Linked DNA regions of Cricetulus griseus. The protein of the gene in region 2 purifies or fractionates together with the protein of the main gene of each other region. This does not show direct contact. Links are inferred from orthologs where the notes say so. Each region holds a gene or a part of one and is shown on either strand. Other genes may lie near its edges.

What was found.
Region 1: the proteins of Asb2 (region 2) and Rnf7 purify together in Homo sapiens (affinity purification with western blotting; 3 studies listed by BioGRID and IntAct, with this or other methods). This does not show direct contact. The link is inferred for Cricetulus griseus from reciprocal best matches to the Homo sapiens genes ASB2 and RNF7.

Annotation. Positions count from the first base shown.
Region 1 is NC_048597.1:205,060,466-205,075,818, forward strand, and holds Rnf7 (RING-box protein 2), read right to left. Parts: upstream 13,021-15,353; 5' UTR 12,927-13,020; coding exon 12,752-12,926; intron 9,608-12,751; coding exon 9,560-9,607; intron 6,957-9,559; coding exon 6,838-6,956; 3' UTR 6,457-6,837; downstream 1-6,456. UniProt on the Homo sapiens protein: Catalytic component of multiple cullin-5-RING E3 ubiquitin-protein ligase complexes (ECS complexes), which mediate the ubiquitination and subsequent proteasomal degradation of target proteins.
Region 2 is NC_048598.1:102,748,732-102,763,520, forward strand, and holds part of Asb2 (ankyrin repeat and SOCS box protein 2), read left to right. Parts: intron 1-1,193; coding exon 1,194-1,360; intron 1,361-2,080; coding exon 2,081-2,236; intron 2,237-3,805; coding exon 3,806-4,051; intron 4,052-6,827; coding exon 6,828-6,999; intron 7,000-13,297; coding exon 13,298-13,859; intron 13,860-14,789. UniProt on the Homo sapiens protein: Substrate-recognition component of a SCF-like ECS (Elongin-Cullin-SOCS-box protein) E3 ubiquitin-protein ligase complex which mediates the ubiquitination and subsequent proteasomal degradation of target proteins.

The DNA.
Region 1 (15,353 bases), on a different chromosome or scaffold from region 2:
TTTCCTGTAAGCAGACTTGGATGGTGGGGCAATTTGACGCCGTAATCAGCTGTGGCTGGACTCTAGCTGCCCTGGCTGCCTTGAGTCAAGGGTTGGTAGTCAACAGCCAGCTGGTCTACCCTCCTGCCAGCATCCACGGTTTGCATACTGCAGACACCATGAGGAACTAGAGAACTGCAGTTGGCTGTTCTAGCTCAAGGCTCAGCCTCAACCAGGGCCTTTCAAAAGTCAATTCCAGATGTTTTTGGTGTCATACAACCTTGGTGAAACAGAGCTGACTCTACAACCGTTTCTACCTAGGCCACAGGGGTGGCCTAGCAGACAGATGGGACTGGTGCAAACACAAACCTCCATGTTCACCTGTGATGTGTGTGTGATTGGTGGAAACTCCTTTTCTCTATACTGTACGCAGCTTGCCCAGCTCACTCGGTGAGTTGGCTGGAAGACATGTCCCTGTGCTTTTCCTCCAGTACTGTCACTAGTTCTAGTAATAAAAGGCTGTTTTTTCTCAACTGTTTTTTTTTTTTTTTTCTTGCCTGCTTTTGCAGTATGGGCCAAGCTGATAACACAAAGCAGCAGCCCGAGGCAGAGGTGACAGCTGGAGCCAGCAGCCAGCCAGAGAAGGAAGGTGGAAATAGAGGGAAATAGAGAGAATGCACCCCAGGTTGAAGGACAGAAGGCCATAAAGAACCCCCAAAAGGAAACTGTAGGCTCTGGTTGCTGGAAGAGTTCCAGAGAGCTCCATGTCTTCAGGGCAAAGGGACATGCCACCTAGGAACTGTACCGCTGGCTGCTGCCAAAGGCTTCAGAGGCTGAGCAATCTTGTCACCCAGGCCTACCTGGAAGTGGCAATGCCAGCTGCCACCAAGGGCTAAGGAATCCCGACCTGCTAGGCACACACAAGAACTGCAAACACTTGTAAAGCTAAGGGGTCCAATAAGAGGGGCCTGCTTGAGCTGTGACAGTAGAGGGCACCTCCTGCTGTTGCCGTCAAACACTTAGGAATACAAACACTGCAAAGACCAGCACTTGGAAGCTTCTTGTCCACCCTGGTTTCCATCAAGAGCACCACAGCCACACTCTTCATTCTAGCAGAAGGCAGCTAGGATGAATTGGGTGATGGTGCAGCACTTGGAAAGTGGAGACAGAAGGACAGCAAGTCAAGTCCAACTCAGTGTACACAAGACCCTGTCTCAATCAAAATAAACAAAAAAGACTTAAGGCTCTACAGAAATGGAAAATCTAAACTAAACTTTTGCTTTTTTGAGACAGGGCTGTGACTAAAGGGATGCATGATCACTGTCTAGCTAAAATCAAACTTTCAATATTTACAGAATCTTTTCTTCATATAAATCCGAAAATTGCGGTAACTATTTGGAAAGTAGTTAAGTCCTAGCTCCTTGTTGCATCCACACTGTTTACTTCCTCCTCTGCCTTTTGCCTTTATTTATTTATTTATTTACTTAGGGCTTTGCCTGTCACAGAACACACTTCTACTAAAGCTCTCACAGATGCCAAGGATCGGCAGCCCTCATCAGCACCAGACAGCTCCTTAGTTTACCTACTTAATCCCTGTGATGTTTATACTGTCAATCTGACAGGTTCTAGAATCACCTCAGAGCCTGTGAGGGAGTCTCCAGACAGGGTTGACTAAGGTGGAAGGACCCACACTAACTGTGACAATATCACTCCATGTGCTAGGGTGCTGAACTGAACAGAAAGCAGAAAGCAACCTGGGCAGTGACATTTATCTCTGCTTCAGGCTTCAGGCTGCCTCCCCTGCCTGCCATGATGAAATATCTCCTCAGACTGAGCTACACAAACCCTTCCTTCCTTACACTGCTTTGTCAAGTATTTAATCACACCCAGGAGAAAAGTAACTGTCCTGGATCCTCAATAATCCAATGAGGCCGGATTACAATACACACGGAAACTGAGGTATAAAGATTTGAAATAACTAGTCAAAATCAGTCCCCCTGGGAAGTCTCAGCTGTTGTGTGGACCAGGCTTTTTCTTTTTGGGCCACCAACTGGCTCCCAAATCATGACATTGTGACTTACTAGCTTTGAATGCTTGGCCTAGCTTAGGCTCATTTCTGGCTAGCTCTTTTAACTTAATCTGTTTCTCTTTGTCTCCCTTTTGCCTTGGGGCTTATTACCTTCTTTCTGTATATCTTACTTTCACTGCTTCTTGTGGCTGGTGGCTCCCTCGTTTTCTCCTCCTCCTTCTCTAATGACTAGATTTCTCCTCTTATTTATTCTTTCTGCCTGCCAGCCCTGCCTAGCCTTTCTCCTGCCTAGCTATTGGCTGCTCAGTTTATTAGATCAATCAGGTGTCTTGGGCAGGCAAGGTGAAACAGATACATCTTTACAAATTAAACAAATGCAACATAAACAAAAGTAACACTTTTTTTGAAATTATTTAAATTCTTTTGTATTTATTAAGACTTTATGACCTAGAATGTGGTCTGTTTTTTTTAAAAGATTTTATTTATTTATTATGTATACAACATTCTGCTTCCATGTATATCTGCACACCAGAAGAGGGCACCAGATCTCATAACGGATGGTTGTGAGCCACCATGTGGTTGCTGGGAATTGAACTCAGGACCTATGGAAGAGCAGTCGGTGCTCTTAACCTCTGAGCTATCTCTCCAGCCCAAGTAACACACTTTTACAGTTGAAGTAATATTCCACTGCATAAATAAATATAACATCTTTACATAGTTAAAATAATATACCACAACAATTATGAATGTCAAAATACAGAAAAATCACTGAGTGGTGGCGGCCCACGCCTTTAATCCCAGCACTTGGGAGGCAGAGGCAGGCGGATTTCTGTGAGTTTGATAACAGCCTGGTCTACAGAGCTAGTTCCAGGACAGCCTCCAAAGCCACAGAGAAACTCTGTCTGGAAAAACCAAAACAGAATCTTTTCCCTGGGGGACATACTCTGCTGAACAAAACCTACCCATGAGAGAATGGGATGGTATGACTGTTGTGTGATTCAAGGCTTCAAGGCAGGAGGATCAAGACTTAGGGGCTAGTCTGAGCTACGGAACAAGTAAAAAGTGCTAAGAGTAACTTCATGCAAACATTAAGCATTTTCAGTATTTTGGTATACCATTAAATTGTTCTGTACAGGGGCTGGAGAGGTTAAGAGCACAGGCTGCCCTTCCAGAGGTCCTGAGTTCAATTCCCAGCAACCACATGGTAGCTCACAACCATCTATAAAGAGATCTGTTGCCCTCTTCTGGCATCATGATGGCAGAACACTGTACACATAATAAATAAATCTTTAACATTATCAACATGGAGTAGTTTAGAATCCAAGCATTTTGCTTTCTATTCTCTCCCCCACCCCAAAGACAGGGTTTTTATGTATGTAGCTCTGGCTGTCCACAAACTCACAGAGATCTGCCTCCCAAGTGCTGGGATTGAAGCTGTGTACCACCAACGCCCAGCACGGTGCTACTTTCTTTATATTCCAATCTATAACCTTTTTCTTGGTTTAACAGTCTCTCTATATAGTCCATGCTTGTGATCCTCCTGCGTCAGCCTCCCAGTTGCTGTGGCTATAGGTACGTGCCATCACACACAATTTTCTTAAACATTATCTACACATGGTCTTACTGAACACAGAAGACTCGCCATTTTCATGTCAGAACCACAGGATTATTTCTTCTTCAAAAATAACTTAAAAAAAATGACAAAGCCTGGGCATTGGTGGCACACACCTTTAATGCCAGCACTTGGGAGGCAGAGGCAGATAGATCTCTGGAGTTTAGTCTGGTCTAGAGCTAGGACCTGATTAGCTAGGGTTGCACAGAGAAACCCTGTCTTGAAAAACAAAGACAAAGCATTTCTACCCCTTTTTCAAATAAAAAAAATAAAGACAACTTTAAATTTGTTATTTAGGCCTAAAAGCCTGTCAAGGGAGTTTTACCAGCTCAGGGCTCTTAGTATTAGCTGGAGTTGTTCACTGTCTGAACTTCACAGAGAGCAACAGGAGGATGGCAGTCACTTGGGCAGATAGAAAGTACAAGGTCTTGGATTCAATTCCCAGCACAAAGTGAACCTTACCTTTTAAAGAAATTCTTTCATTCCTGTGCCATTAGGGTGTCTCTGTGAGGCTGTGGCAGCAAAATGCAAGCAGCCCCATCTGCCAAACACCCAAGATTCTTCCAAGGAAGTCAGTCCTGCCTCCAGAGTTTTAGAAACTGAACTTTTGAGACTGAACAAGTTGAGTGCAGGGATTCGGAGGCTTATGATGTTGAGATGGTACCATGGGATACACAGGCCAATACCTCAGACTTTATTTACCACCCTACAGTACAAAACTTTACAATGACTTCAGCCAAAGAACCTAACCACTATTTATATTTTTTTGTAGTTTTAAATGTCTACTAATATGCAATTAAAGACATTAAATATCATTTAATCATTTGGAGAGAAAATACTGCTTGGTTTTGGACTAACAACTAAAATGCCTCACCATGTTTTTTTCTGGTAGAACAGTATGTACGGGAACTCTTGGCTGGCTGTGTAGATGAGTGGTAAGAGGCCAGCATGGGCCTAGGAGCTGAACTTTGTCTCAGTCCCTCCTCCTCTCTACCCTCAGATGCTGATGTGTAGCATAAATAGGGCTTTGTTAAGAGTTTTGCTGGGTGAACACCAAGTCATTACCATCATCCTCCAGATTTTACTTACAAACTGTCAAAGTGACCTGAGTCACTCTTCTTCACACTTCATGACTCCAAGCTTTAAAAAGTGTCAAGCTGGGTAGTGGTGGCACACACCTTTAACCCCAGCACTCAGGAGGCAGAGAAAGGCAGGCAGGCGAATCTCTGTGAGTTCAAGTCTACAGGGTGAGTTCCAGGACAGCCAGAACTAGAGAAACTGTCTCAAAAAACAAGAACAAAAAGGGTCAAAAAAGCTACTAGTAGCTACTAATGACCAAAAATGTGTAGACTTCTAATACCTAGAAATTTTAGAAAAATTTTACCCATTCTTTTTCAGGGGCCTGCTGAAAAAAATAAAGTCTCAGAGAAACCAGAGCCAATATAAAAGAAACCATAACTCAACCAGGCATAGAGGTGCACACTTGTAACCCTAGTACAGGCAGAGGTTTGTCATAGTCTGAGGCCCACCTCCATTCACTTCCAGTCCAGCCAGGGCTCTAGTGAGACCCTATCTCAAACTGTCACCCACTGAGGAAACCCTCTGTTAACTCTGGATTTTTGTTCTAAACACATTTAAAAACTTTTTAAGAGCATGAGTGCTTGCCTTCATGTATGTGCATCCCCACATTTTATATGCAATATAGTGCCCAGAGGCTCAGATGAGGGAGGGTGCTGGTTCCTTATGAGCTGCAACATGGGTGCTAGCACCCAAATCTGGGTCCTCTGCAAGAGTAGCAAGTTCTCTTAACCACTAAACCATCTCTTCAGCCTGACTCTTTGAAGTTCCTATTTGTAACCACCACTTCAAAATAAAAAACCTTAATGGCCCAAATCACCTTTGAATGAGATTCTGTGTGTACATGTTTGTGTGTACGGTGTGTCCACAGGCCAGAGGCTAATGACTCATCTTCTCCCACTGTTCTCATCTTACCTTTTTGAGACAGGGTCTCTCACTGAACTCAGGAGCTCATCAATTTGGCTGCTAGCTGGCTAGCAAGCCCCCAAGGATCCACCTACCAGTGTCCACCTCCCAAGTACCAGGGCTGGGCTGCCACACCCAGGTTTTCACAAGAGTTCTAGGAACAGAAGAAGTCTGTTCTCAGGCTCGCACAGCAAGCACTCTGCACACTGAGACATCTTACCAGTCTCATTGGATGAGTTTGATAAAATTTAAGTGTTGTGTATTTCCAAGTAATTAAGTTTTAATGCCAAATAAAGAGTGTATCAATGTTTTCAATTTACTTAACAAATAAGTTTAAGGGCATAGATAAAAATTTAATAACCCAAAACAAAATATTTCATTTATTAAGATATTGTATAATAAATGCCAGTGTTGTGCTGGTGTTTTTCCACTAATATTTTGATTAAAATACACAACACAAACTTACAGAAAATACCTCTTTAAGTGATTGAACTGGGTGCACACCTGTAATCCCAGCACTTTGGAGGCAGAGGCAGATGGAGTTCTGTGAGTCTGAAGCCAGCCTGGTCTACACAGTAAGTTTCAGGACAGCCAGAGCTGTAACACAGAGAAACCCAGCCTCGAGGGAAAACAAACAAGAAACCCTAAGTGATTGAAAAGTGAGGCAAGTGCAGATCCAAGCTTCCTTGATGAGTCAAAGATGGAGAACTTAGGAGACAAAGGCCCATTTACTGAAAGTTACATTTTATTTATATTCTTCACTGATCTAAAATCAAAATCGCCACTTACAGCAAATAAAGATACCATGGGCTGCCCTCTCCTAACAAAAAGTATTAGGAGCAGAGGATAGAAGTTGGATTTTCGAAATGCATTTTATTTGTTACTATAACAAAACCAATCAGACATAAACACAGAAACTCTCTTCTGTAAAGTAGATGCAATGCTCTCTCTCACAGACCTTTTTTGGCATTCTCTCTTATAGCTCTTCTAAGCAGTATGTATGACACACACCACAGAGGTAGGAAAGGCCATTTTTAATAAATTATCTTTCTTGTAGACAACTTCTCAAAATTAAACTGACAAAATGCTAAGCCATGCCCTGGATGAGTCTCAAAAGACTGCACCCTTTCTATCTGAAGAACTGATCCGCTGGAGTGTTATAGCCTTCGTCCGGTCACTTGGCAGCAAGATCATCCAGGGTCACAACCACACCAGGAAAGCCTTCTACTACCTCTCATTTGCCAATTCTTTGGACCACCCAGTCCTGCTGGCAGAGAGGACAGCGATTGTTCTGTTTCACCCACAGAGACATGCAGCAGTTGTGAAAGGAATGATTACATTCTCCCCAGACCACTGGAAGAAGAATAAAAAACAACAGCTGAGTAGGTGGGTATGCAGTGCATGCCTGTAATCTGAGTACTGAGGCAGAAGTGCTGCCAGTTCTAGGTCAATGTGGTTACAAAGCAAGACCTTGTCTCAAAAATAACCAATCAATCAATTAAACAACCTCCCCCAATCAACTGACATGACATAGTTCAATTTAAATGGTTAAGCTCAGGAGGACATGCAGGTGGGAGGGGACACATGGAGGGGGAGTTCATGGGAGGGATAGGCAGGGTGAACATAATCAACATACACTGTATGAATGTATGAAATGGAAGCAAAATTTTGAAATATTCTTAAAAATTAAATTACTAAGTTCAAAATTATAGTTAAAAAAAAAAACAATAAAATAGCCATGGCTTATAATCCTGAAAAAAACTGGCTAAGTGGTCATTTTTTTTTTCTATCTACAAAAATATTTACAAGTAGAGTGAGGTTGAACTTAAGAAATATGCCACTGAATGCAGGAGAGCTCACCCTGGTGGTGAAGACGAGGGCGAGCTGGTGGGCTGACCATCCCTGCCAACTACTGAAGCCCAGAACCAGGGCTATGTGTTGGTCTACCTAATACCCATCCCGTCTATGACCTGGGTGTGTCTGTGTGTACACACACACCGGTCCTGTGGACCCGGGGCTGGAGGATCTCCATGACACAGGACAGCAATGGGATGTCCAGGAAGAATCCTAATGAGAGCCCAGCATTGATGGTATGTAGCAGAGTCCAGGGGCCTCAAACCAGACCAATTATTCTTTGGGATGAACCCTGCATGTAAAATTATAAAGTTTACTGCACGACTCACTATACCACACTGCAGCTTCCATGAGGAGATTTCCCTTTTTCCCCTCTCCTTTTTTCTAAAAAAAAATAAAAAATAAAAAAAAAATGGGGGGGAGATGGGTGGGATCAGGAGGAATGATGTGAAAGACAAATGAATGAGAAGAAAATTAAAGGAAGGAGGGAGGGAAGATAGATGGATGGACGGACGGATGGATAGATGGATGGCACTGGCTGGGTGTGGTGAAATTTGCCTTTAATCCCAGCACTTGGGAGACAGAGGCAGATGGATCTCTCTCTTGTGACAGCCAGAGCTGTTACACAGAGAAATCCTATCTCAAAAAATCAAAACAAACAAATAAAAAGTACCACTGTGTTTTGGGAGTGAAGTCACAACCCCTAGTTCCTAAACAGCTCTGCTTGTTGTGTTCTGAAGTTAGGAGATTAAAGGATTTGAGTCTGTTGTAGATCCCAGACCTCCTCAACCATGGGGTGCACTTAGGGATCATTTGTGCTTTCCTTTCTTTATAACATCCTCCTTGTTTTTATTTACCAAGATACAACATTTTATAAGCTCTCAGCTTATAGGGGCTGTTATGAACAGATAGTAGGCATGGAAGCATCATCAGATATTGATGGCACATCTACTGAGCTGTTTTTCTAGAAGTGATGAATTATGCTTCCAGCTGGGTGTGGTCCTGAAGTCCCAACACAGGGAATGGATCAGTGAAAGGCCAGACTTGACTATATAGCAAGTGTCAAGTCAGGACCACACATGGAAACCAAAACCCAAAAGCAGTCAACCAATCCAAAAGTTACCATGCCAGCAGGCAGTGCAGCTCCTCACCTGACAGCTGGATTTGCAGAGTGGCTGGAGAGGCATCCCCTTGTGATCAGGGTTCTTTGCTGAGATAGGGCCTTGCTATACAGCCCAGGCTGGCCTGGAATTCACTATGTAGGCTATGGTAATTGCCCTGTTTCAGGCTTGCAAGGTGCTGGGATTACAGATGTAGGCAACATGCTCAAGTCTTGAAATCTGTCTTTCTTTCTTTTTTCCCTCCCTTCTGTGCTACTTCCTCCTTTTCTTTTTGTTTTTGAGACAGGGTCTCACTCCACAGCCATGACTTGCCTGGAATTCAATAAGATAGAACAGGCTGGTGTCCAACTTGCAGTGACCTTCCTGCAATCCACTGGGAATACAGGTGTGTGCCACCACTCCTGGCCCTGTGGTTTTCTTAGCAGAAAATGTATTTCTTTCTGCTTAGTAAATTGATCTCATTTAAGTTTTTTGGGAACTAAAACATTTATTAGAAAGATGGGTGAATTCTTTCCCTTTTAGTTTTAATTCTGATTTTGTTTTTATTTCTAATTGAGTGTATAGGATAGGGCATGCATGCCACAGCTTCCCATGGAGGTCAGAGGACCTCTGTGGAGTCAGCTCTCTTCATTTTTAAGTGGGTTCTAGAGATCAAATTTAGGTCATCAGGTCTAAGAGTCAAGGACCTTTACCCTCGAGCCATCTTACCAGCCTCTAAAATGTCTGAGTATGTGTAATAATAATTAATTACTGCTTTATGGTTTTTTATGTACTGACAAAGCCATTTCTTTCTTTTCTTTTTTGGAAAACAGATCTCACTACATAGCGAAAGCTGGCCTCAGCCTTCCCAGTTCTGGGTTTACAGGCCTGGGTTATCGAGGCCAGTTTAATAAAGTCAATTTTAATTCTAAATTCAAATATTCCCACAGAGATGGAAGAAAACCTCCAATTGAAAAGGCAGGAGGAAGAATTACCACATACCAACACAGTCCTCTTGTTTGTTTTCGGCTTGACATCTGAGGCAGGCATCTAAAAGCAAACAAAGCAAATCTCATCTGAGGTACAGGAGGCAACACTGGAAACCCAGATCTTCAAAGTCAAACAAAAGCCCCGAGGATCAGAGATGAAGATAAGAGTCTCGTATTATTAGTTTCTCATCTAAAAATAACTACTTAAAGAGAAATAAAATACATGGCATTCTACTAATTCACTTATGACCAATGTTTCACAAGGGCTAATGATGATTTTTACAAGTTCATATGTCAGGATAGTTTGGCAGTGGCATTAGAGAAAGTCACTCAAAGATGCCAACTATACCATAACAAATTATTGTAAGCTCACCAGCTTGCTCACTCACACAGACCAACCGTTAGACACAATTGTGATTATACTCATTCATTATTTGTTCATACACACATAAAGATCTAGAATCCGCTGAGGAATCAATAAAGGTTTTTGTTTTGGAGATAGGGTCTCACACAGCCCCTGCTAGCCCTAACCTGAACTGCCACACTGCAGACGATGACCTTAAAATCCTGCCTCTACTCAAAGTTTGGGATTACAGGCATGTGCCGGTTTTTTTTTTTTCTTTTCTTTTTTCTTTTTTTTTTTGTAAGCAAAATTCCTTTCCTTTGTTTTGAGACTGGGTTTCATGTTGCTCAGGCTGGCCTCAAACTATGTAGCCTAGGAAGGCCCGAACCCCCAATCCTCAATGTATTCACACAATGCCAAAGTACTTAAATAAATTACTTAAGTGTAAACACTAGAAATGGAAACCTAAGAGTATGCTACAAGTTTCTAAAATTCAATCTGTACAATACTTTAGGGACCAATGAAACTGATTCATTCTTTAAATGTATAAGCAGTGCAAATCAGGTAAAAGGAGGCTCACACTGACAGAAAAGGCTTGTTTTTAATTATGTATGTGTGCCTAAATGTGGGTATATACATGCAAGTGCCCTTGAGGTTCTGGATACCGATGGAGCTGGAGTTACTAGCAGTTTGTGAGTTGCACAACTTTGGTGCTAAGTATGTTAAGAGCAGTATGTGCTCTTCACCACTGAGCCATTTCTCCAGATCCAGAAAGAAAGAGGCCGAGGCAGGAGGACCCCTGTGAGTTCACAACTAGCTTTGTTACAATGTGTTGCTAGTACCAGGGCTAGAGGCATTCAAAAGGTTAAAAAAAATAATAATAAAAATAAACATCTAGTGTGGATTGAAACTACTCCCTCCCTCTTCTCACACTGGCTCAAGCACATGACACACCTGTGCCTGGCTCCAGCTCTGGTGGTCTCTGAACTCTAATGCTAGAATTGTCGAAGGCAGAGATCCTGCCTCACCTCCCGAGTGGTGGGACTAAAGGCCCGCACCACCAACTCCCAGTTAATAGTTTATGTGTATGCATGTTGTGCCTGCCTGTGTGTCTGTGTACCATGTTTATGCAATGCCCACAGAGAAGGGCCTCAGGTCTCTAAGACTGGCATTACAAATGGTTGTGAGCCACCATGTGGGTGCTGGGAATTAAACTCAAGTCCAATTCCCTGGAATTGGAAGAGCAGTCAATGCTCTTAACCACTGAGCCATCTCTGCAGCCCACAGCAATTTAATAAACTCTCACATAATTTATGTTACTTGCATACATTTATGCACCGTATGTGTCTAGTGCCCTCTGAAGCCAGAATAGTGTTGGATAAACTGGAACTGAAGTTACAGAGGGTTGTGAACTGCCATGTGGGTGTGGGAAATCTGTATGGACAATCTTCACTCTTCGGAAACATCTCTCCAGCCCCTGGTTTTTTGTTTTTTTGTTTTTGCTGGAAGCTGGTCTCAAACTCTCCTGCTTCGGCCTCCAGAGCATTACAGGTGTTAACCGACACTTTGGAAACCTATGTTAAGCTGGGATGCAGCTCAGTTGGTAGTTTGCCTAGCCTGAAGGAATTCAATCCCCATCATGCCACAGACATTTCTACAAATTTCATCGCTTGGGAGGAAGCAGGAAGATCTGGAGTCCAAGGCCACCCTGGACTATACAAGACTGAATGAGTCTAAAAGAGAAATAAATAAGAGCTGCGATGGTGGCACACGCCTTTGATCCCAGCACTAGAAACGCAGAGGCAGGCGGTTATCTGAGTTTGAGACCAGCCTGGTCAGCACAGAGAAACCCTGTCAACAACCACCAGGCCCCCCCCCCCCCAAGAGAAACTGACAGAAACAGGGTTCTTTTCAAGGTGGGCTGAGCTCTTAAACTATGTAAAACTCAACGAGATTACGATTTTTTGATACGTTTCATTTGGTCCAACATTTTCGTTCAAAATACTAAAATGTTGGACTACTAATGAGGCCAGGCGTTGGTGGTGCACACCTTGGGAGGCAGAGGCAGGAGGATCTCTGTGAGTTCAAGGTCAGCCTGGTCTACAGAGCAAGTTCCAGGACAGCCTCCAAAATAATACAGAGGATCCCTGTCTCGAAAAAACAGGCAAACAAAAAAATGGACTACTAATGAAAGAAGGTTCTTCGAAAGGGCACAAAAGGGTGGGAAGGGGACATAATTAAGTTTCATGTTTCTGAATCAAGCAAAGGCTTTTCTATCCTTGGATTCCCATAAATCTAAAATACTCTTTTGTCCCTCGCCTCAAGACATGCGAGCTCTATCTGACTCGGTCAATGTAAATTTTAAAAGCCAGCCAAATAGCTGCAGAGAACCCATACAAATGGCTGCGCATCATTTCGGTGGCGACAGAGCCATGAAACAAGATCCGCACGGTGGCGCAGGCTCGTCATCTCCAGAATTTGGAAGGTGCGGGCAGGGGCACCAGGAGTTCAGGGCCAACCTCGGCTAAATGGGCAAGTTCCAAGCCAGCCTGGGAAACATGAGCGTCTCTCCCCCCCAAAATCATTAACTAATCAATTAATTAGTTAATTAATTAAATGAACGCTTAGATCCACGAGAGGGCTCGGCTGTGAGGTCTGCGGGCCGCTGGGCTACCAACACAACCCCGGAGGTTCCCACGGGTTCCGAGAGACGGTCCAGCTGTCTCCTCGGCCACGCCCCCCGCCCCTCCCCGCAGGACTCACCCAGCGCGGGCAGCTCGCCCCCCCCCCCCCCCGTCGCCCGCGAAGCTCGCCCAGCAGGCCGCGTCACGGCCCCGGCCTCGCGTGCAGCGCTTTGCTTACCCATCACCTGGACCCTGCAAATGGCGCAGGTATCGCACTCAACGTCCCAGCTCCACATGGCTACCGCGTTCCACTTCTTGAGGGAGAACATCTTGTCGCCCCCCGACTTGGAGCCCGCAGTCCCGCTGTGTGAGGACAAGACGCAGGTTTCCTCGCCCTCCTCCACGTCGGCCATGGCGGCGGCGCAGAACGGCGACGCGGACGTTGGGCGCTGAGGCGGGAGGTATGGCGGCTCACTAGGGCCCAAATGCACGCCACAGCGCCTCCCGCAGGTCCCGCCGCGCAGCCAGAGGAAGGCGGCGCTGATGGCCTGGCGCGGCCCGCTGACGTCACGCGGGAGGGGCGGGGCCTGCTGATCGTCCGTGGTGGCCTCGGGCGTTTACTGCAGAGCTGGCAGAGGACAGTGAGAGAGCCTTGCCCTGCGTCCTTCTTTACCAAACCCGGAGCTCTCGGAAATCACCTTGTTTCTGCCTTCATTAGACTCCTCTCTCCGAAATGTGAACTATCAGAGTAGGGAGAAAAGGCTCTTCCATCACCGTAACCTCCATATCTTACAAAAAGCCTGGCCACAGGAGGTGTGTGTGACTTGGTACAAGTCACGACTTTAGAGATCCAGGAATCCGGTTCAGTGGGTCTCAATTTGGGCATGGGAGTCTTGGATTTCTATTTCTTTCTTTTTCTTTCCTTCCTTCCATTTTCTTCTCTTTATCTTCCTTCTGCTTTTTTATTTATTTATTTTTAATAAGGTTTTTCTCACTATGTAACCCTGGCTGGCCTGGAACTCTCTGAAGACTAGGTTGGACTTGAACTCACAGACTCATTTGTCTCTGCCTCCGGAGTGTTGGGATTAAGGGTGTGTACCCCTATGCCCCGCATCTTGGATTTCTTTATTTCTTTATTTCTTTATTTGTTGGATTTCTTTACACTTCAAATTTATTAGGACCTTAACTTTTTCGTCATGGTTTTGTTTATTGTTGCCTTGTTTTGGTTTTCCCACACAGGGCCTCTCTGTGTAGTCCTGGCCATCCTGGAACTAGCTGTGTAGACCAGGCTGGCCTAGAACTCAGAGAGTTCCGACAGCCTCTGCCTCCCAAACCTGGGACTAAAGGTGTGGGCCACCACCCCGGGCTTTTGTTTGTTGTTTTGAGACAGGGTCTCACTATGTAGCTCCACCTGGTCTGGAACTCACAGTTTAAACCAGGCTGGCTTTGTATTCACAGAGGTCCATCTGCCTCTGCTGCTCAGATTAAAAGTGTGCACCACCAGCCGTGGGTATTGGGATCTGCAAAGGCTTTTGTTTATGGAAAAGATAGCTGAAATCCAAATCCGTTTATTTGCTTGCTTTGAGGCAGTTTCATCTTTTAAACCAAGTTGGCCTAGGACTCATTATGTAGCCTGAATGGTACTTCCATCATGGAGTCAGTTGTGCTAAGGTCTTGGGGGCCCTCTTACAATTAAGATTAACCTCATGCCTTAGAGTCACTTGGTCTCAAAGCTCAGGGAGGGTTATAGTGTTTTTAAATGCAAAAATCACAAAGACCATAATTCACATGACAAAGTAACCTTGAAACATTCATTCCTGGCAGAAGTTTACTTCAGACACAACACAAAAATTATTTTTGACTTAGATCTTCTTCAATTATTCTAGTTTATGTCAATTATTTTGGTTAACACATCTGGACCATGGGCAAGGCCATGGAAATTCAAGTGTGTCAGCAGGGTAGATGTGACCATTGTGGGAGTGGGTTTGGGTAGAGGGCTGAGAACTGTCTAAGGGAATACAGTCAGGACAGGATGGCATTACTATGATCACTTCTCCTCCTCTGTAGGAGAGTCTTTGTTCCAAACATTGAAAAGATGCTTGGGTTTGCTTCAGAGACTTCCCTTTAATGCAAACACGTTTAAGCCCTTCGGGAAGAATCTTATTCCCATCACAAGTGAATGTTTCCATTGTTTATTTCTTTGGTCCTCATTTTCTCATTCCTTCATGCCATTCATCTTTATGAAAACAGTCTTTCCTGTGGTTAAAGAGGAAACACTCTCCAAGCCCTCTTAAATTCAGTTCTTGTTGGCTTGTGAGTCACACAGACAAGAAGGCTAGCAAGAGAAAAGGCGGGTTTTTATTTGTATAAGTAGAATTCACAGAAAAGACAAAAGGCAGTCTAGATTTAGAGTTTGTATACCAGCTGTATAAGGAAAAGGAAGGTTAAGAAAAGGTGAAGGGGGGATGTCTTAGTTTGCTTTGAAAACCATGATCAAAAGCAACTTTGGGAGGAACTGGTTCATACATCTAGATTACAGTCCATCACCGAGGGAACTCAGGTTGGGAAGGAACCTGGAGGCAGCAACTGAGGCAGGGACCATGGAGGAATGCTGCTTACTGGCGAGAGCCCTTGGTTTAGTTATTCAAGTTAGGACCACCTGCCCAGATCCACCACCACCCTCAGTGGCCTGGGCTCTCCCATACCAATAGTTAGTCAAGAAAATGCCCCCACAGACTTGCCTACAATCAATGGAGGCATTTTCTCAATTGAGGTTCCCTCCTCCAAGATGACCCTTGTGTCAAATTGACAAAAAACTAACCACCACAGGGTGCTATAGG
Region 2 (14,789 bases):
TCCAGCTTGCTACTAACTTAACATGCCGGGCAACCTCTCCCTCTTCAGGGTGGGGACTTTGTCTGAACCTGTGGGGAATCTCTCAGTGTGTGACACTGAGGGCACCAGGGTCTGTGAGCCCCAGCTGGAGAGCCCCACTCCAGCTGGAGGTTCAGAGAGATAGCATTACATAGTGGGAACCTCCCTTACCAAGGACACAGGACAAGCCAGCCCAATCCCATCCACTTCAGCAGTGGCCACATACCCCATGGGGCCCTCCCTGAGATTGATGGGGTTGATCCGGTTGCTCCTGAGTGGAACTCAAGCAGGTGGCTGTGATGGTGTTGATGGACCTCCAGGATCTAGATGGTCAGTCCCTTGTCCTTGAGTCTCTGGCTTCACCCGTATCTGCTATTAATAACCCAGAGGCTGAGTGGCAGGAGGAAGTGTCGCATGCTGGAGGAAGCAGCTGGAGAGTTTGGGTGCTGGTCCTAGAGACTCCCCCTGAGCCCATCATTGCCCTTGATCCCAGGATCCTAAATAGTCATGGTCCCTACTGACTCGGTAAGGGAAGAGATTCCGGCAAATAGACAGTCGAGTGAGGGAATGGATAAATGAACAAATTGCCTTCAACGAGCCAAACAAAGACGCTCCTTGAAATCTTTTGACATTTAGAACTTTTAAGCTGCGAAGGCTTCTAGTTTATTAATGCTTCAAGTATTGTCATTTTGCAGCAGCTGGGAGTAGGGATAATGGATTGGATGGGGAGATGGGAAGGCTGGGGTGACGGTGGAGGGAGGGACCTTGGCAGGTCCAAGCCTCTGGGAGCGCTTGCCATCATTCAGTCCTGTAGGTAGCTGTGCTTGGTACAAACCCCGGGGCCTTCTTTGGGAAAGGCTCCTAGTTACTGCAGATGCTTTCACAGTTGTTAGCCATTGTTAGCACTCTGTGCCCAAGTCCCCTTGGTAGAAATAGTCTGGGTGTGACATTAGCTTCAGCCACAGAAAGCCACAGGGCTGCAGATGACCCGCCCCAATTCCCTTGCCTCCACTGAGCCAGAGGGAGGAAGCATTGATCCCAGAACAAACTGAATACCCAAGAAGGGGGGACCCCAGAGCAGGCACTGGCTCCTGCCCTCTAGCAGGTCCTGTTTACCCTCAGCACACAGGCCACCTGGCCCTGCCTCTGCCTACAGCTGTCACTTGCTCTCACAGGGCTATGGATCCCGTACTGAAGGCCATCAAGGAAGGGGATGAAGAAGCCTTGAAGGTCATGATCCAGGATGGGAAGAATCTTGCAGAGCCCAACAAGGAGGGCTGGCTGCCGCTCCATGAGGCTGCTTACTATGGCCAGCTGGGCTGTCTGAAAGTCCTGCAGCAAGGTGAGGGCCAACTCTGTAGGGCCAGCAGGGACACAGGGCTCTCCCTTGGTGTGGGGGGCAGGCAACATATACATAGTTAAATCACTGTGTTGGGGGAGGGTGGACAAGCCCTGCCCCTGCCCCTGCCCCTGCCCTGCCCCTGCCCCTGCCTGCTGTGGTCTCTCCACAACTTTCAGACAGGAAAACCTAATTCCTAGAAACGGAACAGGGAATAGCAGAGTTCTGGGACAGCCACTGCCAACTTGTTTCAGAATGTTCCAGGGGATGATTTGGTGTGGAAAGAACCACAACTGTGCCTGTGTACTACCAAGGCTGTCCCCACCAACTGTGGGACACTGGGCCAGTTCTGCCTCATCTCCAAATCCCATCTTCCTGTTAGGACAGATTAGAATAAATGATATCAACAGGCAGGTATTGCCTTGACCATTGAATGGCTCCGACTCCCACCAGCCACACTGGGACATGCTAGCAGTGACCAAGAGGGCAAAGAAAAAAATAGAGACTCAGAGCTAGAGGCTCAACCTGGTGAGGCTTCCCAGAGGAAGTGACATTGAGTTGCATTTCTACAAGCAGGGCCATGAGGGGCAAGATGAAAGCCATCTGGGCTTGATAGATTTCAGAAGAAGCGGTTCCACCCTTGCTCAGAACTGTGAGGAAGCCAGAACATGTGTGGGTAGTGTGGCTGCCTTCCTTCTTCACAGATTTCCCGCTCTTCCCTAGCCTACCCAGGGACCATTGACCAGCGCACACTACAGGAGGAGACAGCACTATATCTGGCCACATGCAGGGAACACCTGGACTGCCTCCTGTCGCTGCTCCAGGCAGGGGCAGAGCCTGACATCTCTAACAAATCCAGGGAGACTCCACTTTACAAAGGTAAGTCCCTAGGATGGGCTTCTCATGGACCAGGAAGCCTGGAAGCCAAGTGGGCAGCTTACAGACTACTCCCAGGATTATACAGTTCTGAGGGGTCCACTGTGCAGAGGGTAATGCCCTTCCAAGACGCATGGGGACATGTTAATCCAATCTTGCATTTACACATGGGATCATCCAGTATTTCTCATGTGTCCTTCCCCAGGTCAGCATGCTGAGGGACACTGAAGCCTTGGGATGAAAAGATATGACATATGTCTGTGGGCTACACCAAGCATGAGCACTTACTCAGACCACCGGCATGTAGATCTTGGCAGGAGGAGGGATGGGATTGTGTGGAGGGGGTACCTCTTAGAGGGATGCCTGAGTTGAGTCTCACCAGGAAGGGGTTAACCAGCTGGCCAAACTTTGGGGACAGCATGGGCAAAGGCCAGAAGGCAGGAGAGACAGTGCACACCTCTGCTATGTTTATGTAAGCAAAAAAGTCACCTGACTGACTTGGGACTACCTCAAAGTTATGCCCTGACTGCACTAGCCAGGCTCAGTGTCAGTAGATGGATGATCCATCACAATAGCTGGCTCCTTTGAGGGCTGTGTGCCAGGCGAGGCACTTTCCTTAAGCCCCATATTCATCTCTACACTCGGTAAGCGTTGCTAGTGCCTCCATTTTATACATAAGGACCAAGGCAAATCTCCTGTAGGTTAGGCATTCAGCACACATAGTATTCTGTAGGAAATGAGGGCCCGAGAGAGCAGGCGTCTGAAACTGACATGGGAGTGTCTTCTATGGGACCCTTAGTGGTTACCTGGGACTTCAGCTGTCCCAAAGAGAACTGTAGGATAGGAAGCCAGCTAAATACTAGCCAGTAGCTTGGCCCTATCATGTGCCAAAGCCCCAGGCTGTGTCCTGTGTGTGGCCTCCTGTGATTCCCTCCCCCCCCCACCTCCTCCAGGAAGGCTCTGCCATGTGGTTTCCAGGGAGAGCACCAGGGCTTATGATGTGGAGAGCCGAGACCCGTTGAAACTCAATAGGCAGCTGCTCCCCTGTGTCCGGCCTCCTCCCCAGGGAGGTTTGTAGAGCTGTTAATTGGCTCATATGCCTTGGTGACTCTAATGCCTTCTATGGCTCCCAGGTGAGAACTAGGGGCCAGAGCCAAGGTCACATTTAAGATCTTTTGACAGAGGAAGCAGAATGGGAGCTTTGAGGAGGATGAGAAAGATGAGTTATACTCAGAAGATAATGCTAACCCAAGTTGAATGTGCATTTTTGCTGTATAGATTCTTTCAGCCCTAGTGTCTGACATAACATTGAAAAGGATAATTAATTATGAACCCTTTAGAATATTCTAGGGGGCAGAGTCTCTGGATGTGGCTCTCTAGGTTGGAATCCCAGTTCTGACTTTTACTCCCTGTGTGACCCTGAGTAAGTCACTTACCCTCTCTGTTTCACCTTCCTCATTTACGGATGTAGGTATTGACATTGCATTCTTCAAGGGTAGTTGGGAGGAGTTAAACCAGTAAACTGCCAAATCTTCAGGGCCACCCTGACTATCTGTCTTCTGCCTGGTCCAGCCTGTGAGCGTAAGAACGCAGAGGCGGTGAGGATATTGGTGCGATACAACGCAGACACCAACCACCGCTGCAATCGGGGCTGGACTGCACTGCATGAGTCTGTCTCCCGAAATGACCTGGAGGTCATGGAGATCCTGGTGAGCGGCGGGGCCAAGGTGGAGGCCAAGAATGTCTACAGCATCACCCCCTTGTTTGTGGCTGCCCAGAGCGGGCAGCTGGAGGCCCTGAGGTTCCTGGCCAAGCATGGTGAGTTATCACAGGGTACCCTGGCAAGGACCTCAGAGGTCAGCTGGGAAGGAAAACTGTGTGTCATCTTGTGGGCATCCTCTGATCCAGGGCCTTGCAGGGCTTTTCAGAGGATCCTGAGGCTGTGTTTAGGCTCAGTGGAGCTGCTGTGAGGAGATGCTGGTGTGCTCGCCGTTACACACAAGCCTTGTACCATCTCTGGTCCAGAGCAACATCCTCCTTTCGCAAAAGAGGAATCTGAGGCCTGGAAAGAGGAAGTGACTTATCTACAGAATTAGCTGAAGGACTATCTAGATTCTTGGGCTCTTGATGCCCCAACCACGGTTCTTTCTGCTACGTCACACTGTTGGGCCGGAAGACCTCAGATGTAGATCACATCCTTGTTTTGCAGGTGATTCAAACAAAGGACCAGGGTGAGAAAGTGATTTGTCCAAGATCACACAGTAAGTTCGTGATAGACATGGGGTCTGAACCCAGGTCTCTGCCCTAATTTCCCATGAAAAGAAATCTTAACTGGAGAAACTAAAACAGTACCGTTTGTGCCATGGTGTCCCAGTAGCAAAGACGGAAAGACCACACCTAAAAAAGCTTTGTATTTTGACAACTCCCCGAACTCCCCTTGGATTTCTTTTCATTCTCAATGGAAGGAAGATTCCCTTTGAACACTGGGGAGGTTGAGGCTATGCAGACCTTGGAGCTGTGCCACAAGAAATGGTTGAGCACCTTCTGTGTGTCAGACCTCCTGCTAAGCATGGACCTGTGATGGGTAGAGTGTGAGCTGGGCATCGTCCTAGCTCCTCTATAAACACGAGGAGACTGAGGCTCGAGAGGCTAAGTGACAGCTCATAATGAGAGCCTGGAGTCCAGCTTGTGTTTGCACATGGCCAGCGTCTCAGCCTAGAAGAATGACCCTGGGCCTTCGTTGGGACAAGAGGCCACATCCATAGTGTGTCGGGACAGACTGAGGCTCTTAGCCAGGCATAAATCTGCAATGAACACTCTGAGAACACAGAGGCCAAGGTGGAGTCCTGGAGCCCAGGCCAGCAGGCCATGCTGAGGGCAAGAGCACAGTGGGTGAGGGGGACTCCCCTTTCTAGGCAGCTGTTCTGTCCCCTGCCGACACTGAGGCAGAGACTGCTCCCTTCATGGGGGGGCTAAAGCCAGTTCCTACACAAATATTTTCCCTGTTTGATCAGGCTGCTTTGCTGACAAGCCTAGGCCTGCTGGAGAGCCTGACTCCAAGCTTGTTGAAGGTACCCCTACTCTCCCTCTGAGGGAAGGGCAGGACCAGGCTCTGTCCTGAGCTCTGCCCAGACAGCTGGCATAGGCTGTGCAGCTTCTAAGCCTGGTACTGTGCTGATGTTATCTTCTTTACACCTTTTAGTAACCATGAGAGGGCAAGACCATGATCCTGGTCAACATACAGGTAAACTGAGGTTTCTAAAAGCTACCTAGGGCCCCAGAGCTTGGGAGTCATGAAACAAAACTTGAATGGTCCCAATGGGCCATCAAGGCTTGTGCCCTTCTCTCAGGGCCAGAGTGAGCTTCACTGCTGTTGAAAATGAAGTTATCAGAAAGGTGAGGCAAGCAGATGGCTCTGTGAGGGGAGTTGTGGTTGACACAAGCCTTTGATCTCAGCCTTCACAAAACACGTCAGCTCATATGCTTCTGTAGCAAAAGCCTAGTTTCCTTTGCATAGAAATCATGTGCACACTGGTTCTCTTTCTCACCCCCATGAGATGCAGAAGATGTAGAAGACTGAGATGGAGACAGGCTGCCACCAGGCTTTAGTCCCCTTCCTGCCAGCATGGTTCAGTGATTCCTTGCTTTTTTAAATTTATTTTTACTGTTTTTTAGTGTGTGTGTGTGTGTGTGTGTGTGTGTGTGTGTGTGTGTGTGTGTGTGTAATTACCTGCAGAGACAAGAAGAGGGTACTGTTTCCACTGGAGCTGGAGTTACAGTTGGTTGTGGCTACTATAGGAACCCAGTGTCCCCTTTAAGTGCATGATCTTCACCACTGAGCCATCTCTCCAGTTCCTCAGTGATGCTTACAAGCAGAAATGAAGCCATGTCTCTATTGTTTCTGATGGAGAACAAAACAAATCCAGGGCTCGGGATGAGGCTCCACTGGTAGAGTGCTTGCCCAGCGTGCACAAAGTCCATGGCCCATCTCCAGCATCGCAAACAACAGTGTGGTGGTGTGTGCCTGCAATCCTATCATTCTAGAGTTGGAGGCAGGATGATCAAAAGTTCAAGGTCATCCTTGGCTACATTTGGAATTCAAGGCCAGCCTGGGCTACATGAGATGATGCCTCAGACCAATCAACTGTGCCAAAATATCCATCAAATGCAAATTCAGCTAACAAAGCCAGTGGGGTTTTCCTTTGGGAGCTTTGTGCTTAGCTGGAGCTGAGGCCACCATGAGGGTACAGCCTAGGGCCCTCCACGGTAAGGGCTGAAAGCCTGGTCTCCATCCTGCGGCCATGTGAGTTCAGGTTTGGCTTTACATCCATGAGTGGATGTGTCCTAGTCTCTGATGAAAAGCCTGCCCTAAGGTAAGCTTTGACCTCCCAGGGTTCTATGTGAATTCAGAGAAATAGTGTAAGAGCGTGGCTGCGTGATAAAGAACTTACTGTAGCTTTGACCTCCCAGGGTTCCTTGTAGATTTAGATAGTATAGGCATGGCACAGCACACAGCAGTTGTTAGGTAAGAGGTGCTCACCACATGATGGCACTGAATCACTGGTCACTCGCAGCTCTGCTTCTCTCTCTCTAGGAGCAGACATCAACACGCAAGCCAGTGACAGTGCATCAGCCCTCTATGAGGCCTGCAAGAATGAGCATGAAGACGTGGTGGAGTTTCTTCTCTCACAGGGAGCTGATGCCAACAAAGCCAACAAGGACGGCCTGCTCCCACTGCATGTCGCCTCCAAGAAGGGCAACTACAGGTCAGTCCAGGCAAGGCCATCATCTTGCACAGCACAGTTCTCCAGGGATGTCCAATGAAGGCAGAGTGGGGCAGGACACCTGCTTCAGTCTGTCCTCAAGGACAGGAAGGCCAGAGGCTGGCAGGGTGAAGGATACTTTCCTTGTGGAAGGTTTCAATGACCACATGTGACAACCACCATGCTAACAAGAGTACATGATTGCATGTGTGGTCCTTCCACTGCTTTCCATAGCCAACTCATTTAATCCTCTCAAGGGCTTGCTGAGGAGGAGGCCGTGGTGACCTCTTTTTTTTAGATGAGAAGCCCTTTAAGATAAATAGAGGTTGAGTCATTGGTCTACACAGCTTGTAGGTGACAGGAATTCACCTGCTTCAAATGACCCAGCTAATCCTACTTAGGGAGCAGAGAGGAGTCTGAACTCATGACTTTTGTTGTTGTTGCTGGGGTGGGAGGGTGCAGAGATAGCCTGCAGGGCATCCTAGCAAGCAGCCAAGGATGCCTACAGCAATGCAGAGGGACCAGTCACTGGGTACTTCCCTGTACTTCATGTTCAGGTGGGAGAAGCTCAACCTCTCTGGAAGCAATTTGCAGGAGGGAAGGTGTGCATTCTCTCTCTCTCTCTCTCTCTCTCTCTCTCTCTCTCTCTCTCTCTCTCTCCCTCTCCCTCTCCCTCTCCCTCTCCCTCTCTCTCTCCCTCTCCCATGCATGTGTACCTACTCTCTATGTCTGTCTGTCTCTCTCCTTCTCCCCCTCCCTCTTTCCCTCTCCTCCCTCCCATCCCCCCCTCTCTCTCTCTCTCTCTCACACACACACACACACACACACACACACACACACACACACACACACACACACACACACGATGAAAGAGCATACAGTCCTAAGTTCCATGGTGGCCCCAGTAGAAAAGCACTGTTAAGTACCAGAGCAGAATGCACTGGAGCCAGCCTGTATCAGCCCATGCAAGCAAGCCCATTGCAGGCGTTGTCCCAGCAATGTTCACTCCATGGAGTAAGCTTCTCTCTGGAATCCCCAACATCCCACTCATCCAAGAGACAATTACTTAGAATTTTCCACTCACACATGGGTGGGGAAGGATGCTTGGCAGGTGGGATGCTGGCTGTTCCTGAGGACAGACACTTTGGTCATTTCTAAAGTGTGGCCTCATTGCCAAGCTATGGGATTCAGGTCCACAATGATGGCTCCTTTTACAGTACAAGAAACTGACACCCAGTAGCTAAAGAACCTTGTGCCTCAGTGGGCCAGCACCCAGGCCTAAGACTTAAGCCTCGGAAGTCAGATACTTTTCTATTGGCTGGGTGGTTCCCAACTGTGGACCCTGGTAAGCTTCTTTCCATTTTAGACAATTTTCATTACTTTTTCAAGATAGGATTTGTTTTGTTTTGTTTTTTTTTGAGACAGGGTTTCTCAGTAGCAGTGTGGGAGCCTGTTCTGGAACTTGCTCTGTAGACCAGGCTGGCCTCAAACTCACAGAGATCCTCTTTCTCCACCTCCCAAGTGCTGGGATTAAAGGTGTGTGCCACCACTGCCTGGCTCAAAGATGGTTTTTAAAGTACATCTTTTTTCCTAAAGTTGTTTTCAAATGAAACATTCACCACAGTGGTATAGTGGGAAGATGATTTACGGTTACTAGAAAACCCATGCCCTGTGCCTGGGTTGCCAATCTGGGAAACGCTCTAACTGCTCAGGCTGGCAGAAGAAAGCGAACAGATTATGTTTGGCATTGTCAGTAAGGTGGGGGTGTATATAGGGAAAGAGGAACGTCCACAGAAAACAAAGTAAAGGCCCAAGGAGCCTATACTGTCCCTCAGAGCCCCAGGTTTCCCTGTAAACTATCTTCATACGCAACCAGTTTCCCCGGGGGCTGCCCAGTGAAGGGTTAAAGTTGGATCTCCGGCAACCTCTGCCACCTGACTGGGCCAGGGCTCTTTGCTCACACCCTGGGCATGTGGCAATAGAAGCCCTCCCCATGCTGGCCTCCCACGGGCTAAGCAGGGATTTGATGTGACATTCCATAGGCATTCAGCCACCTGCCAAAACACTGCCTAACCAGGGCCTGGAGCTCAACGCCTGGAGCCTGAGGCCATTTGCCAGATGTGCCAATTCCACAGAACATGGGGTAAGAGTGCTTGGGCATGGCTTAGTCACCGAGGGGCACATTTTCTGTCTTCTATTCCCAGTGTGGTGCAGGGACCTTATGAACGAAAGACCAGAAGAATGGGGTAGACTTCCAAAGACCCCGGGAGCTGGACAAGAATGTGACCAAGGGCCCGGAAAGCAGGGGTTCCTGACCTCGGCTCTGCAGCCCTGATCCAGGCCCCACCTTAGCCCAGTTTATGGCACTGGGATGGCCTGGAGTAGATTGCCTGAGTTTCTACATGGTGACTGAGTGAGTTCCAGGAGCTTAGCACCTCTCCTGTGGCCAAGAGAAAACACGGGGTTGTATTTTGGAGTTCATGTCTGACCCACCATCATTAAATACCATTCTCTATACACGTGTATGATATGTGTGTGAAACACACGTCAGAGCTGACCGCGTGGTTCAGTGTGCTGGTAGCAGTGGTGGTTAGTTCCTGTGTGACAGGGTGAATGCTGACAAGGGTCAGGCCACCATGACCTTTTGACTAAGGGCTCCTCTGGCTTGGAGCAGTAGGCTAGGGCTGTGTCACTGTGCTCGGGACGCTGACTTCCAACTGCATTCTAACTTCGTACTGTGTGCTGATCAGACTAAGGCATGAGGTGTTATCTTAGCCTCCAAAGCAGGCTTGGCAAACAAGATGGTAGGTTGTGCTTTGAAATGTGGGTGCAAATCCCACCTTTCTGGGGTGTATGAAGAATAAAGGAGACAAAAGCACTAAGGTTGTGGGGTCATTTCTGATTTAAAGGAGTGACTATCAAGAGTGCTTTAAAGGGCGCCTGGCACACAGTGAACGCTTGGTGGCATAGTCATTGAGACTTTGAGGGTGAAGTGTTCCTAGCATCAGGGCCTCAGTGAGGGCTAGCTGTAGGTGTCGTTGTCATTGTCATTCAGTGTAATCTGTTGTAGGTGTGGTTTAGAGAGCTTAGTGGCATGCCTGAGATGGCCCAGCGTGGACCTGGTCACCAGGTCCATCTGGTTCTGAGCCCTGATACTCCCTTGTTGCCTATGCTGTCCCCTACACTCCACCCGACAAAGAGAGCTAACTGGAATTGAATACCTACTCACTGCTCCTGGGCGGGGTTAAGGCAAGCCATCAGCACTCACGGTGAGACTATATATGTATTATATATGTATTACATATATAACGACTATATACATTATATATTATATAACATATATATAATGTAATAAATAATACATGCTTTAGTAGTTTTCATCTTCACTAGTACCCCAGCTCTAGGGCAAGCAGAATGGGGGTTTCAATACTGAGAGGACCTGGACTGGGGTCCCAAGTCAGAGGCTGCCAAGTAGCCAGATGCTGCCCAGGGCCTCCCAGAAACAGCCCTGGGCTGGGTCTGTTTGGCTTTCTGGGATAAGTCAGGGAATCCCAACCTATTTTGGCATCACCTGCTTACTTCCTGCCCTCCATCCCACAAAATGACCTGGGGGAAAAGAGTCCTCTGCATAATGGGTTGTCCACATGGGCACTCTCCGTGGTTAGAAGTAGGAGACCAAAACCAGGCATGGTGGCATACTCCTGTGATGTCAGCACTTGGTAGGTAGAGGCAGGAGGATCAGAAATTCGAAGTCATTTGTGCCTGTGTATGAGTTTGGGGCCAGCCTGAGCCATAGAGACCTAATTACTTAATTAATAACTTACAAAGAGGCAGGCACCACAGAAAGTCCTGGCCCTGGGTATTCAGCGCCCCCACACTGCCCTGGCTTGCTGCCTGTCTTTATTCAGACACATTTGCTTCTCAACTCCAGTCCGGGGTCTCCATTTCCACCCTCTATAAAATGGCAGCACTGTCCTTTTCTCCTTCGGAGCTGGCCAGCACAGCACACCAACCCTTGACGCCTCAGTCCTAGAGAAGTAACCAGTGACCTGATGACTCACTGAGTTGCTGACTCGATGCTTCTGGGACTCGGGGCAGGGATTGTTGAGTTCCCACATTTCTGCCCCTTTCCTGGCCTGGGCAGGGAATCCTGGGAGACCAGCTGGGGCCTGCAGAGATCCCAGCCCATGGGCCAGCAGCCCAGCCCACCCCTGTCCCTGTTCTTTCCCGTGCTTGGGCGCGTCACGGCTGTTACCCTGCATTTGTTGGTCATGGCGGTGGTCCAGGGGCCCCAGCCCTGCCTTTGACCAGCACCTCTGAAGAGGAGGTCAAGCCCCTGGAGCCTGCACAAATAGAAATTAGGAGGCAATTAGCTCCCCTGAGTGTGTGAATCTCCTTCTGAGGTCTTAGAGGCAGATCTTAGCCAAAGGCAGCATCACCTATGACAACAAAGCTGTCCTTGGAGAACCCAGCAGGAGGTCGCTGGCATCTCAGTTCCAGGAAGCCAGAGGCAAGGACAGTGCCAGGAGGCAAGAGGCATGAGAACTGGCCTGGTGGCACCTGCTTTCCCCTCCCCATTCCCCAACATGGCCACCTCCTTAGAGCTCTACAGGGAGGCTGTGAGGTCACCTGTCAGCAGGGCTTCGATGAATCAGGGATTGAAATCAACAGTGTAAAGACTTGTTCTAGAAGGTGGCGGGGATCCAAGGGATGAGAGCCAAGATGAGGGGTCCTGGGGTCAAGAGCTGAGATGAGAGGTCCTGGGGTCGAACCCCTAGAGCTGTTTATTCTATGACCTCTGGTTTGTCGTTGGTTTTCTGAGCCACGTCTGTTAAAAAGATAGACACAGCTTGTTCTGGATACCCCATAGGGCTACGGTGAGGATAAAATGGGCCAGGCAAGTTAACACACTGTGAAAATTGCAAAACCCCATGACCTATCAGCTGTCACCCTGATTGCTCCACCAGAAGTAGGAGAGTAGTTAAGAGCGTAGTCTAAAGGATCAGACAATCTGAATTCAAATCTTGGCGGCCTCACTTCCTGGCTGTGTGTCCTTGGGGATTCTCTACCTTCCCTGGGCTTCCTCCTCTGTAAACTGAAGACTCTTAGGAATACAATCTCAAGTGTCCCCCCAGGAGAACTACGAAGTTTAATAGGTAGAGAGTTGAGATCAGTGCCCAAGCCGGCAGTCAGGAGCCAGGGCAGTGGGACCTCCAGCCTTGGCAGTGGCTGGCTAAGCTCTCCCTGTCCAACATGGGACTGTTGTTACAGTCTGGAGCTGGAGTTTCAAACTTCTGTGGGCTGTCCTGTGGGAGCTGGGACGGTTCTGGAGCTGGGTCCTCTGGAAGATTACCCAGAGCTCTTAACCTCTGAGCTGTCATCTCTCCATCCACAAGCATCCTTTTATTTAAGGGGCTGGAGGAGCTGGTGTTACACATTCAGGAGGAAAGCCGAATAATGCAGCAGAAGAGAACGAATCACTTGGGCACAGTAGATCAACCAGTCTGGGGCAAGAGTGGTTGAGACATTTCTACCTTTCTGGCTCCTTCCCTCCCCTCACCATGTCTAGAAGTTCCACCAGATGCCAGTGTAGCAGGAGAGGGAGCAAAGATAATTCAGCCCCAGAGTGTCCCTCCCAGTAAGTCCCTTAACCGTTTGAAGCCTCGATTGTTCTCTTCTGCAGAGTGGGGGCAACAAGACATGCTTTATGGGCTCTTGTAACGATAAAACAGGGCAAGGTCTGGCACCAGATTTCAGCATCCAGCTCTATGTACTATTCCTGCAGAGTGGTGTGGACTTTCAATGGGTGTGAAGGGCTTCCTGCCACTTTCTTCAGATTACGGAGAGCCACCATCTTTATCATTAAGGATCAATGTTTTGTCTGCATATATGTCTATGCACCATGTGTACGATTGGTGCCCGTGGTCACCAGAAGAGGATTTCATGTCCTCTGGAGCTGGAGTTACAAACTGCTGTGGGCTGTCCTGTGGGAGCTGGGACGGTTCTGGAACTGGGTCCTCTGGAAGTTTACCCAGAGCTCTTAACCTCTGAGCCGTCATCTCTCCATCCACAAGCATCCTTTTATTTAAGCTCGAATGAGTCCATGAGAGATGCTTGAAACCACAGCCCATCTGGCTGAGTTTTTTTTTTTTTTTTTTTTTTTTTTTTTTTTCTTTTTTTCTGGCTATGGGACTAGGTGGGGAAAGGCCAGCTGAGCATGGCTGGCCCCTTGGCGCCCCCCGCTGGCCGGGCCATGCACATGCGTGCCGTCTCCTGACCCGCACGTGCCTGCCTTCCACAGGATTGTGCAGATGCTGCTGCCGGTGACCAGCCGCACGCGCGTGCGCCGCAGTGGCATCAGCCCCCTGCATCTGGCAGCCGAGCGCAACCACGACGGGGTGCTGGAGGCGCTGCTGGCCGCGCGATTCGACGTGAACGCGCCTCTGGCGCCCGAACGCTCGCGCCTCTACGAGGACCGCCGGAGTTCCGCGCTCTACTTCGCCGTGGTCAACAACAACGTGTACGCCACCGAGCTGTTGCTGCTGGCGGGCGCCGACCCCAACAGCGACGTCATCAGCCCCCTGCTCGTGGCCATCCGCCACGGTTGCCTGCGCACCATGCAGCTGCTGTTGGACCACGGCGCCAACATCGATGCCTACATCGCCACGCACCCCACCGCCTTCCCCGCTACCATCATGTTTGCCATGAAGTGCCTGTCGTTGCTCAAGTTCCTCATGGACCTCGGCTGTGATGGCGAGCCCTGCTTCTCTTGCCTGTATGGCAATGGGCCGCACCCGCCCGCTCCGAGGCCCGGCCGCTTCCACGACGCTCCTGTGGACGACAAGGCACCCAGCGTGGTGCAGGTGCATGGAGGGAGGGGACAGGCGGGTGTCAGAGAAGGCAGGGTGGGCCGATAACCGTGCTCCCGAAGCAGGTTGGTTGGACTAGTGGTTATGGCAGGTGGAGAATGACCCCTGCTTGCAGTAGGGTAAAGGGATTGGATGCGAAACTCCAGGGTCAGTCACCCGTGGAAAACATTCAGCGGACAGGAAGGGGACAATGGAGCAGGCTGGTGTAAAATTCCGGGGAGGCTCTAAGACTCAGGACCGCCAGGCAGGTGACGGGTTGGCCTGTCTGTAACCCCGATGCAAGAGTAATGAGAGAGTCAGGTTTATCTCCGGCTACAGAGTAACTTAAAGGTCATCTTTAACGACTCGGTGAGAGTCTATCTCAAAATAAAGCAAAAGAGAGCCCGGAGAGATGGCTCAGCAGTTAAGAGCGTGTAAGGCTCTTGCAGAGGACTGCAGTTGGGATTTCAGTACATACCATGGGTGACTCACAACTACCTGTAACTCCAGTTCAAGGGGCTCTCCTGCCCTAGCCTGTGGGGACACTCATGCTCACATACATTCACACACATATGCAGAAGATAACTAAATGTAAAATAACTCTTAAAAAGTAAAATAGAGTATAAGAAAGAGCATTGAATGATGAAGTAGTTCACCCTCTGTCGAATAATAAAATAATAATAATAATAATAAATATAAGAGCATGTGAAATATACAGTTTATGTTCTTAGAAAAAAAACAACTCCTTGGAGTGAATGTCATGTGCACAATTTATAGGCAAGGAAATGGAAGCTCCGAGAACTGAGGGGACCAGCCCCACTCATCCATCTTGCATGTTAGGTGACAGATGCCAGTGCTAACAGGGGCCACACTGGAGGGGGATTCATAGAAGGAAACCTGGTCAGATCTTAGACACCCTCCCGGCCACCTGTCTGACATCCCCTC